Bombyx mori: one gene and its partner. The protein of the gene in region 1 interacts with the protein of each later gene in a pairwise test. Links are inferred from orthologs where the notes say so. Each region holds a gene or a part of one and is shown on either strand. Other genes may lie near its edges. The genes, in order: ADP-ribosylation factor-like protein 3; retinal rod rhodopsin-sensitive cGMP 3',5'-cyclic phosphodiesterase subunit delta.

Evidence for each region.
Region 2: the proteins of ADP-ribosylation factor-like protein 3 (region 1) and retinal rod rhodopsin-sensitive cGMP 3',5'-cyclic phosphodiesterase subunit delta interact in binary tests that used the Homo sapiens proteins (3 or more experiments, as listed by UniProt). The link is inferred for Bombyx mori from reciprocal best matches to the Homo sapiens genes ARL3 and PDE6D.

The regions. Positions count from the first base shown.
Region 1 is NC_085132.1:10,393,823-10,400,590, forward strand, and holds the start of ADP-ribosylation factor-like protein 3, read left to right. Parts: upstream 1-2,569; 5' UTR 2,570-2,740; coding exon 2,741-2,743; intron 2,744-2,818; coding exon 2,819-3,079; intron 3,080-4,007; coding exon 4,008-4,140; intron 4,141-5,063; coding exon 5,064-5,167; intron 5,168-6,592; coding exon 6,593-6,637; 3' UTR 6,638-6,768. Other genes in the region: nucleolar protein family A member 2, read right to left, coding at 989-1,220, 1,872-2,110. UniProt on the Homo sapiens protein: Small GTP-binding protein which cycles between an inactive GDP-bound and an active GTP-bound form, and the rate of cycling is regulated by guanine nucleotide exchange factors (GEF) and GTPase-activating proteins (GAP).
Region 2 is NC_085119.1:5,231,945-5,238,712, forward strand, and holds the start of retinal rod rhodopsin-sensitive cGMP 3',5'-cyclic phosphodiesterase subunit delta, read left to right. Parts: upstream 1-2,393; 5' UTR 2,394-2,467; coding exon 2,468-2,538; exon of another isoform or gene 2,539-2,888; intron 2,889-3,037; coding exon 3,038-3,069; intron 3,070-3,646; coding exon 3,647-3,798; intron 3,799-5,047; coding exon 5,048-5,184; intron 5,185-6,012; coding exon 6,013-6,094; 3' UTR 6,095-6,368; coding exon of another isoform or gene 6,369-6,374; 3' UTR 6,375-6,768. Other genes in the region: ubiquitin-protein ligase E3A, read right to left, coding at 678-861, 1,113-1,147. UniProt on the Homo sapiens protein: Promotes the release of prenylated target proteins from cellular membranes. Modulates the activity of prenylated or palmitoylated Ras family members by regulating their subcellular location.

The DNA of each region.
Region 1 (6,768 bases):
GATTTCATGTTGGAGTCTTGTCTTATAATGTGCTTGAATGACTCCATACAATGTATTATGTAATTAAAAATGTTACACATTTACTATTCCCATTAGAGGATTTAAATTAGATATTAAGGCAATTTTTCTTATGAATAACTAATATATGAGTTTTCTTAAAATATAAAAATATTTCAAGTACATACAAAAATGCGCAAGACATCCCTGTATCATCACACGGAGAAAAACACGTCTTATATGAGGGGCATCACAATATAAGGAGGATATATATTTAGAATTTCTGAAAGTAATAAAAATCTATTCTTATTCTATCATTTATTTCTATATCTTAATTAACGTAATTAGAGTTGTTGAACTGAGTTATGAAAAAAAAAATTGTATCTAATAGCATTCTGTCCAATACTTTTAGGTGAATGACAATTACACATTAAAACAACTTTACATACAAATATATATCATTTCCAGTCTAGTCTACTTCAAACAGGGACAGAATTTTTAATATTGTGAATATATCTTGGTTTCCATAGTAATGACACATTACTCCCATGTGTGTGGTGAATTCTGGAATATTTCGCTAAACTTTTAAACAAAAAACCAAATCTTTTAGAATTGTTTTTGGAACTATCCACATTAGTACTAGCTATAAATACCATAAAATACATTGAGAATGAAGTAGTACTGACAATTTTGGACACAATGTCATTAAAAACTTATTGAAAATTTATTTTTGTTTTGTCTAGTTTTTGTACTCACCAGTGTAAACACAATATATCAGATCCTGTGAAGTAATTACATGTTACATTACAAAATATAAAGTTAATTACCTAAATGTATATTTTTATCATGTCTAGTATTTAACAGTCACTATGGAATATATTGTAATGAACAAAAAATTCTAAGCTGATTTTGTTACAAGAATGTTACTGTTAATTCGTTTGAAAGTCTTACTATTTAATATTAAAACTAAATAAGAATCTTATTCATATATTTACAGTGGATGTCCGAGTAATTTTATTTCACTTTTAACTTCCTCGTACAAATCTTTATAATCCTCATGTTCTTTGACAAGTACCATGATGCATCCTCGCATTGTACCCATGGCGGCACCGATATCCTTCCTACTTGGAGTGTAACAGTATTGGACGTCCTTCTCCTCGCAAACCGCAGGTAGGTGACACATGATTTCTATGGGTGAAATGTCTCCAGCAAAGAAAACCATGCTGTCGATAAAAGAAATGTGAACATTTTATTAAAGGTTAAGTAAATTTATTTAATGTGATACAGATTTTTTATTTATTTTAAAATATGTTTAAGACCATTTTAGCTATGTAATGCCCATATACTTTATTCCACATACATCATATGTGTGAATATGCCCATGAGATATGTGGGTGAAGTTTTAACCTATCAGAGGATAGGTAGTAGGTAGGTACTGCAATGTATGAATGCTTCGTGAGAGCAATAGGCAGGATGGTACCAGCCCGCGCGGGTTCACAATATGCTCAACGGCCAATAAAAACAGGGGGCTAGGTTTGATATATTAGAAATATTTAGAATTTTGGGTTTCCTGCCTTGTATTTAGATTAAAGTGTTGTTCTGAAGAAGTCTAGACCGTGCCTTACGGCGACACAGACATAGCGATTTCTGTGGAATTTAGTATCAAACTTTGTAAATTCTGATGTCGAGCGATGTGACAAACAACACTAGTAACAAAAGGTAAGTTAATCAACATTTACCAAATCGAACTTATTACTATAGCATTAGAGTATAGTAGCCAAGAAGATAACATTTAACAATTTAATCCACGAAAAACTTCGTTACCACATATCAACATAACCTCGAAATTAAATAATTCGAGAAATCTAACTCACCCCTTTTCACCCAGACGTAACTGCTTCTGAACGATTTTCAGGCCGTTTCTGATATAGTTCTTATGGTTACTCGATTTCTTAATAAGTTTATATATCTTTTTGGTGAGTTTTTTTGTGGCCATCGGTTTCGCTATTATACTACAATGTTCGACTTTTTCATCGTGGCTTTGCGGTTCAGCTTTAATGCTGACATCAGCCTGGTCTTCCTGTTCGACCGGTTCTTGCTTTACTTTACCCATAATTTCAGATTTTTATTTATAACTTATTTAAGTTAAAATTATCAACACGTGTAGACACAAGCGTAGTTTAGTCCTTGATGACATTAAGTTGATGTTTGCTTGCCTTGTATTCCCTTTGCCTATTAGACAGGCAAAAGAAGTATAGACTATACAGCCAAATATATTATTTAAATAGTGTAATGTAAAAAACCCATACTTAGGTAAACTTGAATACGGCCCACTTGATGGTGATAGATGGGTTCTTAGATCACAATGAGTTTTTTGGGAGAAGCTAAGAAGCTAGTTACTGAATGGAAATTTCATGTTGGTGGTTAATTTTAATATCTATTGTTCGGACTAAAGCACATTAGCGTTATTATATGTTCTCAAAAAGTTAGTTATATGTATTTAAATAAGAGTCACGTTGCCACTGCATAGGTCTCTTGACTTCATAAATCTTTCCTTTGTTGGAAGTGACAAGCTGTTGTCATAGCAACAGGGACGTCAACAAATTCTACTAAATAACAAAAAAAAATATACCGATTCTTGAATTCGAGTAAATAAAGACGAATTTAATTATCATGAAGACTTGATATCACAACTTCGAATAAGATCCATAAATAAACTTTGAATTCCAAGCAATATCGAATTATGGTAAGTTGAAAGGCGTTAAACATCGCTTATATAAAATTAATAACTAAATATGGTTGCATTCGTAAATTTTTTCAGGGTCTGCTAGATATATTAAAGAAACTGCGATCTAATCCGGAGAAAGAGCTTCGTTTGCTGCTGTTAGGGCTGGACAATGCTGGAAAGACGACTCTATTGAAGCAATTGGCTTCGGAAGACGTGAACCACGTTATCCCGACCGCTGGTTTTAATATAAAATCGGTGTTATCGAATGGCTTCAAGCTAAATGTTTGGGATATCGGTGGACAGAGGAAGATCAGGCCTTATTGGAGGAATTATTTTGAGAACACCGATATTTTGGTATGCTATTGATTTATTTATAACGAATTTTAAATTACATTTTTAGAAAAAAATTTTTAGAGAGCACACGGACATGGGCCTTGTAGATGGTACAGCCATAAATATACTCTTAATTGTATTGGTCATAAGCGTCATCCGTCAAATCAGGACGTAGTCGCGCAGCAAAACTGTGCAGGGTTGTGGTACAAATGGGCACTCAATATCTACGCTTTATTCAAAGTTAGTTCGGGAAGTGAGACGAACAATGAAGGGTAGCTAGGTGTACTGAAATAGGTGGCTGACTGGTGGCACTTACCCGTGCAGACTAACAAGATGCCCCACCACCAGTGATTGCGCAACATATAATCTTTGCGGGTTTGGTTCTCAATATACGATTTTATATCTAAATCGTGGACGTCACTCGTGAACACGTGTGAAGTAGATAATAATATGTATTTCATAAAAAAATGATCGGGCGCCTTATTTATTAGGCCTCGGCTTAACTCCAACAATAATCGTAATACGAGAACCTTAAAAAGTTCGCGTGAGCAACCTCATTTCTGAATATTGCTACTGTGGCGCACTTTTTCCCATAGAAAGCTTAACAACGTACGTACATCTTATGATGATTTTTTTCGGGCAACGCGGTGGTAAGGCTATGTAAATCGAATGTGTTGCGGCGCTAAGTTGATGCGCTAGAATTTTGCCCAATAGACGTCCAAAGACGTTCGGACAAAATAAATATGATAAACTCTAGAGACCGTCATATGACGTTGCGCCATTTCATAATTTAAAAAACACGACGTTGTAAGACGTTGCTCACGCGAACGTGTTAGATCGGCAACGGGCGTTTTGCTTTCTCACTTTTAACTGTAATACATTTGGATGTCTGATCCAGCTTTACCTCTGCCTTCGACTATTAAAGAAAACTGTTAAAATAACTTTACAGATCTACGTGGTCGATTGTTCAGATCACCATAGACTGGAGGAGACCAGTCTAGAATTAGCCGAGCTGCTTCTGGATGACAAGTTGCGCGCTGTTCCGCTGTTAGTTTACGCCAACAAACAGGACTTGGCGACCGGTGCGTATAGATAATTTGATTACATTCATTTTTGAAGTAATCTGTGTTTTTAATTTCACTTTTAAATAATCATTAAAGTAATTTGCATTGGTAGTTTTAGTTACAATTAATTATAAAAGTAATCTGTGTTGATAGTTTATCTTACAAATAATAAACTATTTGGCGGTAGTGAAGTGGTGTGATTTGTTTTGTGCTCACCGAAAGACTTCCAGGACATTGTGTGATAAAATACCGCTATAAATATTAATTTGCATTAATACTAGTAGCGTATCGGACGCCTGCACTCATAGGCACCGTTTTGCCTATTTTAATCACAAGCAGTCATGTCTTCTAATTAGAAGAATAAAGCACTCACACAATACAATTATATATTTTTTATTTTATTTTTTAGTGCCGTCTAGGCAGACGAGCATACGGCCCATCTGATTGTGAGTGATCATCGTCGCTCATGGACATCAGCGATGTCAGGGGCACAGCCAAGCCGCTGCCTACCACGAAATTATTACCAACTCCACTATCTTAACTGGTGGTAGGTGTAGGCAGCGGCTTGGCTCTGCCCTTGGCATTGCTGAAGTCCATGGGCGACGGTAACCACTCACCATCAGGTGGGCTGTATGCTCGTCTGCCTACAAAGGCAATAAAAAAAAAGGTACCACCACCCTGCCGTGAAGTAATTCGAGCGGGGCAGCCGTTACACTGTAAAAGCTGAGACTTAGAACTCATGTCTTAAGGTGGGTAGCGACATTTGCGTTGTAGATGTCTATGGGCTCCGATAACCACTTAACACCAGGTAGGCCGTGAGCTCGTCCATCCATAAAAGAAATATAAAAAAAAATATAAAAAAATTGTGCAATAATAAATGCGCAAAATCTACATGGGAAGAAATGTCTGATACAATCATGTTGGGTTTTTTTTATTCACAGCATTACCGGCTAGTGAGATAGCTCAACATCTCGGTCTGCACTTAATAAGAGACAGGACTTGGCAGATACAAGCGTGTGTGGCCACTGATGGTACTGGAGTTAAGGTTAATGTCTATTATATTTATACAATATCGTCATTACCGACCTGTGTGCTTAGTGTGAGATTTTTAACGTTCTCGACGGCGTAAAAGTTAACTTAGATTTGTATGCAGTTGGAACAGCGCCCCTAGCGGCAAACGTAGGCAAACGTTCCAACTCCATACAAATTTGAGTTAACTTTGACGCTATCGAGAACGTTAAAAAACTCGCACTAAACACACTGGTGTAGGTCGCGGGAATCTGCTAGATGCGGGCTTCATTTGACAGGTCGTTGTGGTAAGTCTTGGAAGAGTTCTATGTCCAGTTGTGGACGTCTGTCGCCTGCTAGATAGATGGTCACCATTTGATTTGATGCGCCCTTCCAAAGGATAAGGTTTTGATGGTTCAAATATTTGGAATGACTGTGGTGAAGTGATTAGTGCCTCTGATTCCTGCGCCAAGGGTCTTGGGATCGATTCCCACGTTAGGGAATGTTCATGTGACGAGCAAATTCAAAATCATTTATTTCAACTTGGATGTCATCAAAAACACACTTGTTGAATGTCAAAATGTAAAAGAAAATGTTAACTCTACCACCGGTTCCAAAAAAAAGCCACAGTCCTGAGAAGAACCGGCGAAACAAACTCAGCGGGCTTTTTTTTTTTTGTTTGCTCTTTGTCTGGGCATGTTTGTTTGCTCTTTGTCTGGGCTATATATTATCTGTTTTATATATTTAATCCGAAAACTGAGTGCGATTAGCCCGTACCACTGACCATGTCAATAGAATTGAAATGAAGTGTCAGTATGGCTTTTTGGCGGGAACGCGAGGAGTGAAGTTGTGTGATTTGTTTTATTTTGTCTATTTAGTGTTTCTTCAGGTTTAAATGTGTGATAACGGTGGTTTATTAACTGTTTAATATCTGTGAAAGTGCACAAATATGGGAAAATGAAACAAAGCCGCTGGACGTAACTTCTCGGGATCCTCCAAAAAGTCCACTGAAAAAATCTCAGTAAATTACCACCATTTTACTGAGATTATATTTCATCCCATATCATCTCATTTTATTTAATTTCATCCCAATTGATGAATGTCTCAAAAGTAATCATCTTCATTTCATTTCACTCCATATTAACATTTTTCATAAAAATAAGAAAATAAATTAAAATAAGGCATGACCTAAAGGTCTTAGTTACCAGGCCATAAAATCCCTTAAAAAAGTGTCAGTATGAAGCATGTTTGAGATATCTCAAGATTGGGTGGTAATCAGAATACGGCGCTCCTATCTTTTTATACCACACAACCATTGTGTAACAGCGGGACGGTAGTGTATACTATCTATCTATCTATCTAGTATGCTATGGGCTCTACCTATGCACTACCATCGGGAATTTGGCCACAATTCCTCTTAAATCGAATCATGAATTAACACGCGTGTTGTTTGTATCCACAGGAGGGCATGGAATGGGTTTGCAAGAATATCAACGTGAAAAAATAACAAATCATTCTCGGCCATATTTTGCGGTAAACACTGATTAAATGTAATATTAGTTTGGTATAGTTGTATGGTACAACTTTGCTCACGATCCGCTGTGTCTTCGATTGTTACGATTTTTGTTAAATGGCTTT
Region 2 (6,768 bases), on another chromosome or scaffold:
AATATTGGTACTTTAATTATCAATTACATGATAAGGTATTTGTTATATATATATTATGAAATGGATTTTGATATATCTATTCAAATTCATATTCTTGAGATTACATAGTGAAATTGGATTGTTGGACTGTAACAATAAAGCTGAGTATTCAATGACCAGCCAGAATTGTAACAGTTTATAAGTTTGTGAAATACAATATATGTATACTATGAACCCAAGTAATCACTTTTTATAAAACAAGCATTTAAATTTACGGAATATGTCAATTACAAAACTCTATCTAATCTATCCAATTTCAAGTGTTATCAGATTTTAGTGAAACAAAATTTATATTCAGCTCTACATTGATCTATGTTCAATAATTTTGTTAGTTTTATTTTAAAATGTATTAATGATTTTTACTATTGACAAAACATGAACTTCCTATAGTACTTACTATCAATAAGTACTTATAAAATAAATAAATTATGCTTAGATTTGCAAATGAATAGTGTATTTGGTATTTACAATACAATTTTTATTTTAGGGCAGTCGATTGGTGTATTCCTACTTTCGTGTTTCCATACAGCCTGTTTTAACAATAGTGTTTATACCTAGAAATCTGAATACAATATTTGAATATATTCACCAAATCGGTGGTTAGTTTAATTTCAAAAAAATATATATTCATTACTTACCGCCCCACTTGATGCACAATATCTGTTATCACAGTTAACATTGCCACAACCATCTAGCAGTTGATAAAAATATTTTTCAATTAACTGCTTGGCTGCGGCTCGCTTCATAATATTTCCTGATGTTAGCTGGTCTTCAACAATGTCAGGGGTTGAATTTATCGATGATGATGATGCTTCGCTCCCCCTGAATGATAAACAATAGTAATGCATATATTTATTACAAAACGTAACAAATATATTTTCAAACAACACTTTATTTTTGCTTAAAGGAAGGTACTAAAATAGCAAGTAATGCTTCATAACCCCTATCAACATTTTGTTTCTGCACGAAACAAATACAATAAAATTTAGATATATTTTGGTAATCTTAAAGGTCAACGTGATGTGAATTTTTAAATATTAATAATATAGTGAAATAATAAAACAGATACATACCTCGAAGCTTCGACAGACTCGCTTTTCGGGTTCATAGAAAATTCTTAATAATCCTGTAGTGATTTCAAACGGCCAGTTACATAAATACGGTGATAACGTAAACATTAGCAGGGTACAAATTTTAGAAATATTTTTTGTGTTCACCTCTTGGACTAAACAAACAACATTTACATAGTACAACATATAATTTTACCTATTGGCTATTATTGTGTTTTATGTAGGTACCTATGTACAAAATTACAAATTGAGATTTTTGTGAAATTTTCTTTTTTTTGTTACGGCCATTGGCTACTGTATCTTTTGGCAAAGAAAGTGCACAATCGTTGATTCGATTTTGTGGTTTAGTCGATTTGATATTGATGTGCACAAGATCGTTTTGAAGCTGTCATATAAAAAGCCTGTTTGACTGAATCGACATTTGTGAATTACTGTAAAATAAATTTAAAATTTGAAATTTATAGTCTGAGACTCTGGAAAATGCTCTGTAGTAGTTCACAGATTAAAATATTAGTTACTGAGCATTTCTCAAAAAAATTGACCATAGCAGCCGCAATGTTGATGTCCCATACTTTGGTCTTTGATGATGTTTTTATTACGATAATATAAATAACATACATGACAGTCGTAACTTCATTGATATTACTTAATTATCAGAGAAAATATCAAAACAATAAATAAACCACACTAATTACAATAAATAATTAATAATCTAAAAACCAAAATATTCGTACTATGGAAAATAAGTTGTCCCATTAAGACCGCAGTGATTTTGAACTCATTTATTTCATTACATTCTATTTGTATTCTATTTACATTCTATTCATATGATGTTATGTCATATGTCATATGATGACGTTAATTGGTGGATCCCATGGAGTTAATAATAATACTAATCTCTATAGAGGATCCCGAGAAGCTATGTCCAGTGGCTTTGTTTCGTTTTCCCACATTTGTGAACTTTCACAGATATCAAACAGTTAATAAACCACCGTTATTACACATTTAAACCTGAAGAAACACTAAATAGATAAAATAAAACAAATCACACAACTTCACTCCTCGCGTTCCCGCCAAAAACAACCTAAAGGTCTATGTTACCAGGTCATAAAAAAAGACCATAGACTTAATTTATGGAGCTTGCAAAAAAAACCCCAGAAAAAGTGGTTTTCATTTTTCAATGTGAATGTGAACAATATTGTGTTCGTAATTGAATTTAGAGTCATAGAATAAACACTTAATTGTTTAGAGTATTTTGTTAGACAGAAAAATAAACACAGTTCAGTTCGCTGTTAAGAAAATCAGCAATCAAAAACATAATCATATAAAATTGGAATTGAACTTTTATTTTCGCAAATATGACTGACGTTCTAACAACTGAACGAGATAAAAATGATCGTGTGGAGACTATTCTGAAGGGATTTCAAATGTATCCTTTACATATGTTCTTTTTCTTATATTGCCCTTAATGCCATTGTGAGTTGAGATCCTTTAAAATCGAATAGTTGACGAGTAAGTCGTGGCGTTACGTCTAGCAGGGCACCTTTTTTTGCTTTTTGGATGATTACCCGACTGTCGAGAGACTTTAAACCAAGTCCTGCCTATTCTTTTAAAAAGTATTTTTGCATTATTAGGCCCATCGTCTGCAAACATAATGCTGTTCCATAGTAATTCAGTACCTAAGCATTTGTACCGTGCATCACTTTTGGAATGAATTTCTTCCCACGATTATGCTGTTGTTTCCCACAATAGTCCCACAATTAAAGTTTGAAAATGTACCTGAAAATGTAAAAATAATACATCCTCAATTGATGTATTTAACATGTGATCCCTAATTGATTATAAACAGCGTTAAAAATAAATAGATTCATCATTTCAATGTGTTTTACTTAACAATTGTCAATAATTTTTTAACATTGCAACGTCAGTAATTGGATGAATCTTCGTGATGCTGACACAGGTAAAGATCTAGTCATTGAAAAAAAAACGTTTGAAATATATTAAAATTAAGATCAGTAGTAGAATTTGTTTTGCCTGTAAATTAGATATGCAATTTCCAAAGATAAACAAGTCAGTTACTGATTGTGTATATCATTGTTTGTTTTTTTAAATATACTCAACAGAATATAATTAAAAGTTATATGATGCTATAGTTGATGTGAATGAAAAATTAAAATAAATAAATAAATGACTAATCTTGGGTCCAAGGTGGTTAATTGTTTTTACATTGGGATGTCTATGAGACCACTCCAGGAGCAAGATTTATTAAATGTTTTCTAGTATTTAAAAATCCTACAAGTAGCTTCACCAGACTGCTGATGATTGTTGTATAAAATATACATACTCAACACATAATAATAATACTCAAAACTGTAATAACATATCGCGGGCGAGCAAAGCGTGGCAATTTTTTTTTCTCATTTTATGAAGTTTCTTAAATAAAAATCAAACTACTTTTAGATACTTAAGTAACAGCAATGTTATAATTTTTCCCCTATTGCACATTTATATTTATTTTATTAATAATTCTTTTTCAGGAAAAATTCTTTGGCAACATAATGAGGACATGTCAAGTCCAGATGCGGAACACGAAGCAAGAGTACCCAAAAGAATTCTCAAGTGCAGAGTAGTGTCTCGTGAAATGAACTTCAGCTCAATAGAATCCATGGATAGATTTAGATTAGAACAGGTACATCTATACATATAAATAAAATTAGAGTGTCTGTTTGTAGTATTGAAATAACAGCTTTTTACTACATTCATATGAATATATATACGGTACATATACCAAAATAAAATTTTTTATAATTTTTTTTTGTCTGTCTGTTTGTTCCGGCTAATCTCTGGAACGGCTGGACCAATTTTGATGAGACTTTCACTAATAGGTAGCTGATGATATAAGGAGTAACTTAGACAACTTTTTTTACACTAGCTTCGCCCCGCGGCGTCTCCCGCAGTTATTGTCGTACCGCGCGCTACATGGCTGGCTTGGCCTATCAGTCAATAATAAAATTTAATGTTTCCGAAGAGAAGCGAGGGCGGGTCGCTAGTGTTAAGATAGTAAGCAATTAAAGTAGAATTAGTTTCCAACTACAAGCATCATTTAACATTATTTATGTAGCCGATGAGTCAGAAATACTAAAAACAGTATGTTGTAGGTTAGATAGACTAGACAGTGTTGATTAGTGTTCAGTAGATGCTTAAAGGAGGGGACGTCATAAATAGACTTGGAGGGAATGTGTGAACCCCTTTCACACATTCCCTCCAAGTCCATATGAGTGAAAAGGGTGTGTATGGGTAAATATGATGTATGATAGACCTGAATGGAAAAAAGGTCATCATTGTATAAAGGCAAGAATAAGAATAAGAAAAAGTGTCATGATAGTTTTGATTTAGGTGGAATTATATTTATCAAACTGATATTCGAATCTGAGTATTGAGTATACATCTTCCTGTCTTATATGTATGTTTCTGGTATCCAGAACATGGGAGAAATTTCTGGCTTAGACTGTATAGTGTGAAATGTTTGCTTGTTAAAATAACATCACCATCAGCATCTATCAGTATAATTGGCCACAGATGTGACAACTTAGAACTGTCTGAATCCAAGCTTTGCTCCATATTTATATCATATTATTTCAAAAATAATTCATTCATCTAGTTTATTTTAATTGACTTGAATTAATATGTTCACAGAATTATAGAATTTAAACTATCCAATCCTGCATTTAACTGGTAGTACACTTACAATTAAATATAACATTACCAATCTAATTAGATATAAAATATAATTTTTACATAGATAAACATTTTATTATTTGGTAATTCGGTACTAACTTCATTAATAACACATGGATTTTGAGCTACTCACACCTACAGCAATAGAAAATATATAACTGATTTGAACACTAAAAAAAACTAAATGTTTCTTTTTATAGAAAGTACTCTTCAAAGGGAGATGTTTAGAAGAGTGGTTTTTCGATTTTGGTTATGTGATCCCGAACTCAACGAACACTTGGCAATCCGTTATAGAGTCAGCGCCTGAATCGCAAATGATGCCGGCCAATGTGCTCAAGTAAGTTTGATAGTATATAAAATTTCAATATAAATTAGTATAGATGGGCAGATGAGGCTACAGCTCACATTTAGGTGATACTGAAACCCAAATACACTATGAAGTGCTTGTGGTGACTAACCTGAAAACATGTGACCTATGTCTGTTACATATTGTATAATATCGACAGATATGGGAGCTTTTCTGTAGAAATATGAGTGGTGATATTTACCTGAGCGGAATCATAGTACAGCCTATCTACACTACTAATTAATCGAAAGTTTTGCATTTATTTAGTACATACTTATTGTAAGATAAAAAGTGCGGCACCCATTAGGCTAGGTACACTGCATTTATCATGTTGCTTGTTTACCAGAGCCCCAAATAACCTCAAACTAAATGTTAATACTACCACTCCGAGACCTGAGAACATGAGTTGGTTGCGTAAAATTATCACTAGGGCTGAAGAAAATTTTTGGAATTATTCTAATTTTATAAATATATAAATAGAATTAGAATTCATAACACCTGAATATGTGAAAACTGCCAAATTGCCAGTTTCTTTATTAGGGTTAATAGTCCACTTTTAAGTCTTGGTTACAAGGATCAGATTACAATTTATTTCGCTGCCAAGATAAATTAGAATGTTTTCCAGTAGGGATATCCTGGATAGAACCCTTGATCTCCAAACAACTAATTAAATATGTCAAACGTCAGACCAGAGCTCAAGTATTTTGGCGGGAAATTTTAAAACTGTTCCAAAAAAAATGCAATTGGCATTAAATTAATGTGTAAATATTTTGCAATTACGAATTATTATATACTAATTATGGAATTTTCTATTTTCAGTGGGAACGTGGTTATCGAAACGAAATTTTTTGATGGAGATTTGCTGATCACAACCTCTAGAGTACGACTGTTCTATATATGAGTCGTCTATTATCAAAGGCGGCAATCTGTACATTTGGACAAAAATTTTTTATTGATATGTCAATACAGATTTATTTGAATATAATCGTCTCCTTCAAAGAATACGGTTCAAAACCTGCATTAAATAAAGGTTAATAGTTAACCTGTTATTTATCTAAGATGTCGTTCCGAAGAGTTTTGTGACTGCCAATGGAATACAAAGTCAATAATTCGTTTTTCTGATTTACCAATCATTGTCCAAAAGTCAGATTGCCGCCTTTGATAATAGTCGACTCATATAATCGTTTAAATTTAATCTATGATACTTAAAATCTACTTGTGCATTTACTAGTCATTGGTGTGGTGCATTTATTTTATTCGAATTTTTACTTCAAAGTGTCCTTATTGTGATTTTTGTATCCCCTAGAAGCAGGTAATTCTTAGAATACAAATTATCAAAATTTATTAATAAGTGGATGTATTTTAGATCTAAAACTTAATGCATAGTATCAACAGCTCAGTCTCCTTTTTGCTTGCTAAAATGGAAGCGGCTACCCGAACCCATAGATGGATTACAATGGGAATGTCTTCAGTCTAAGAGTGGTGGGATTAGCCATAACACACACAAAAATACAGTATTAGATTTAATCTCAACCACTTTGTATTACTCGAGATTACAACTAAATATATAGTTGA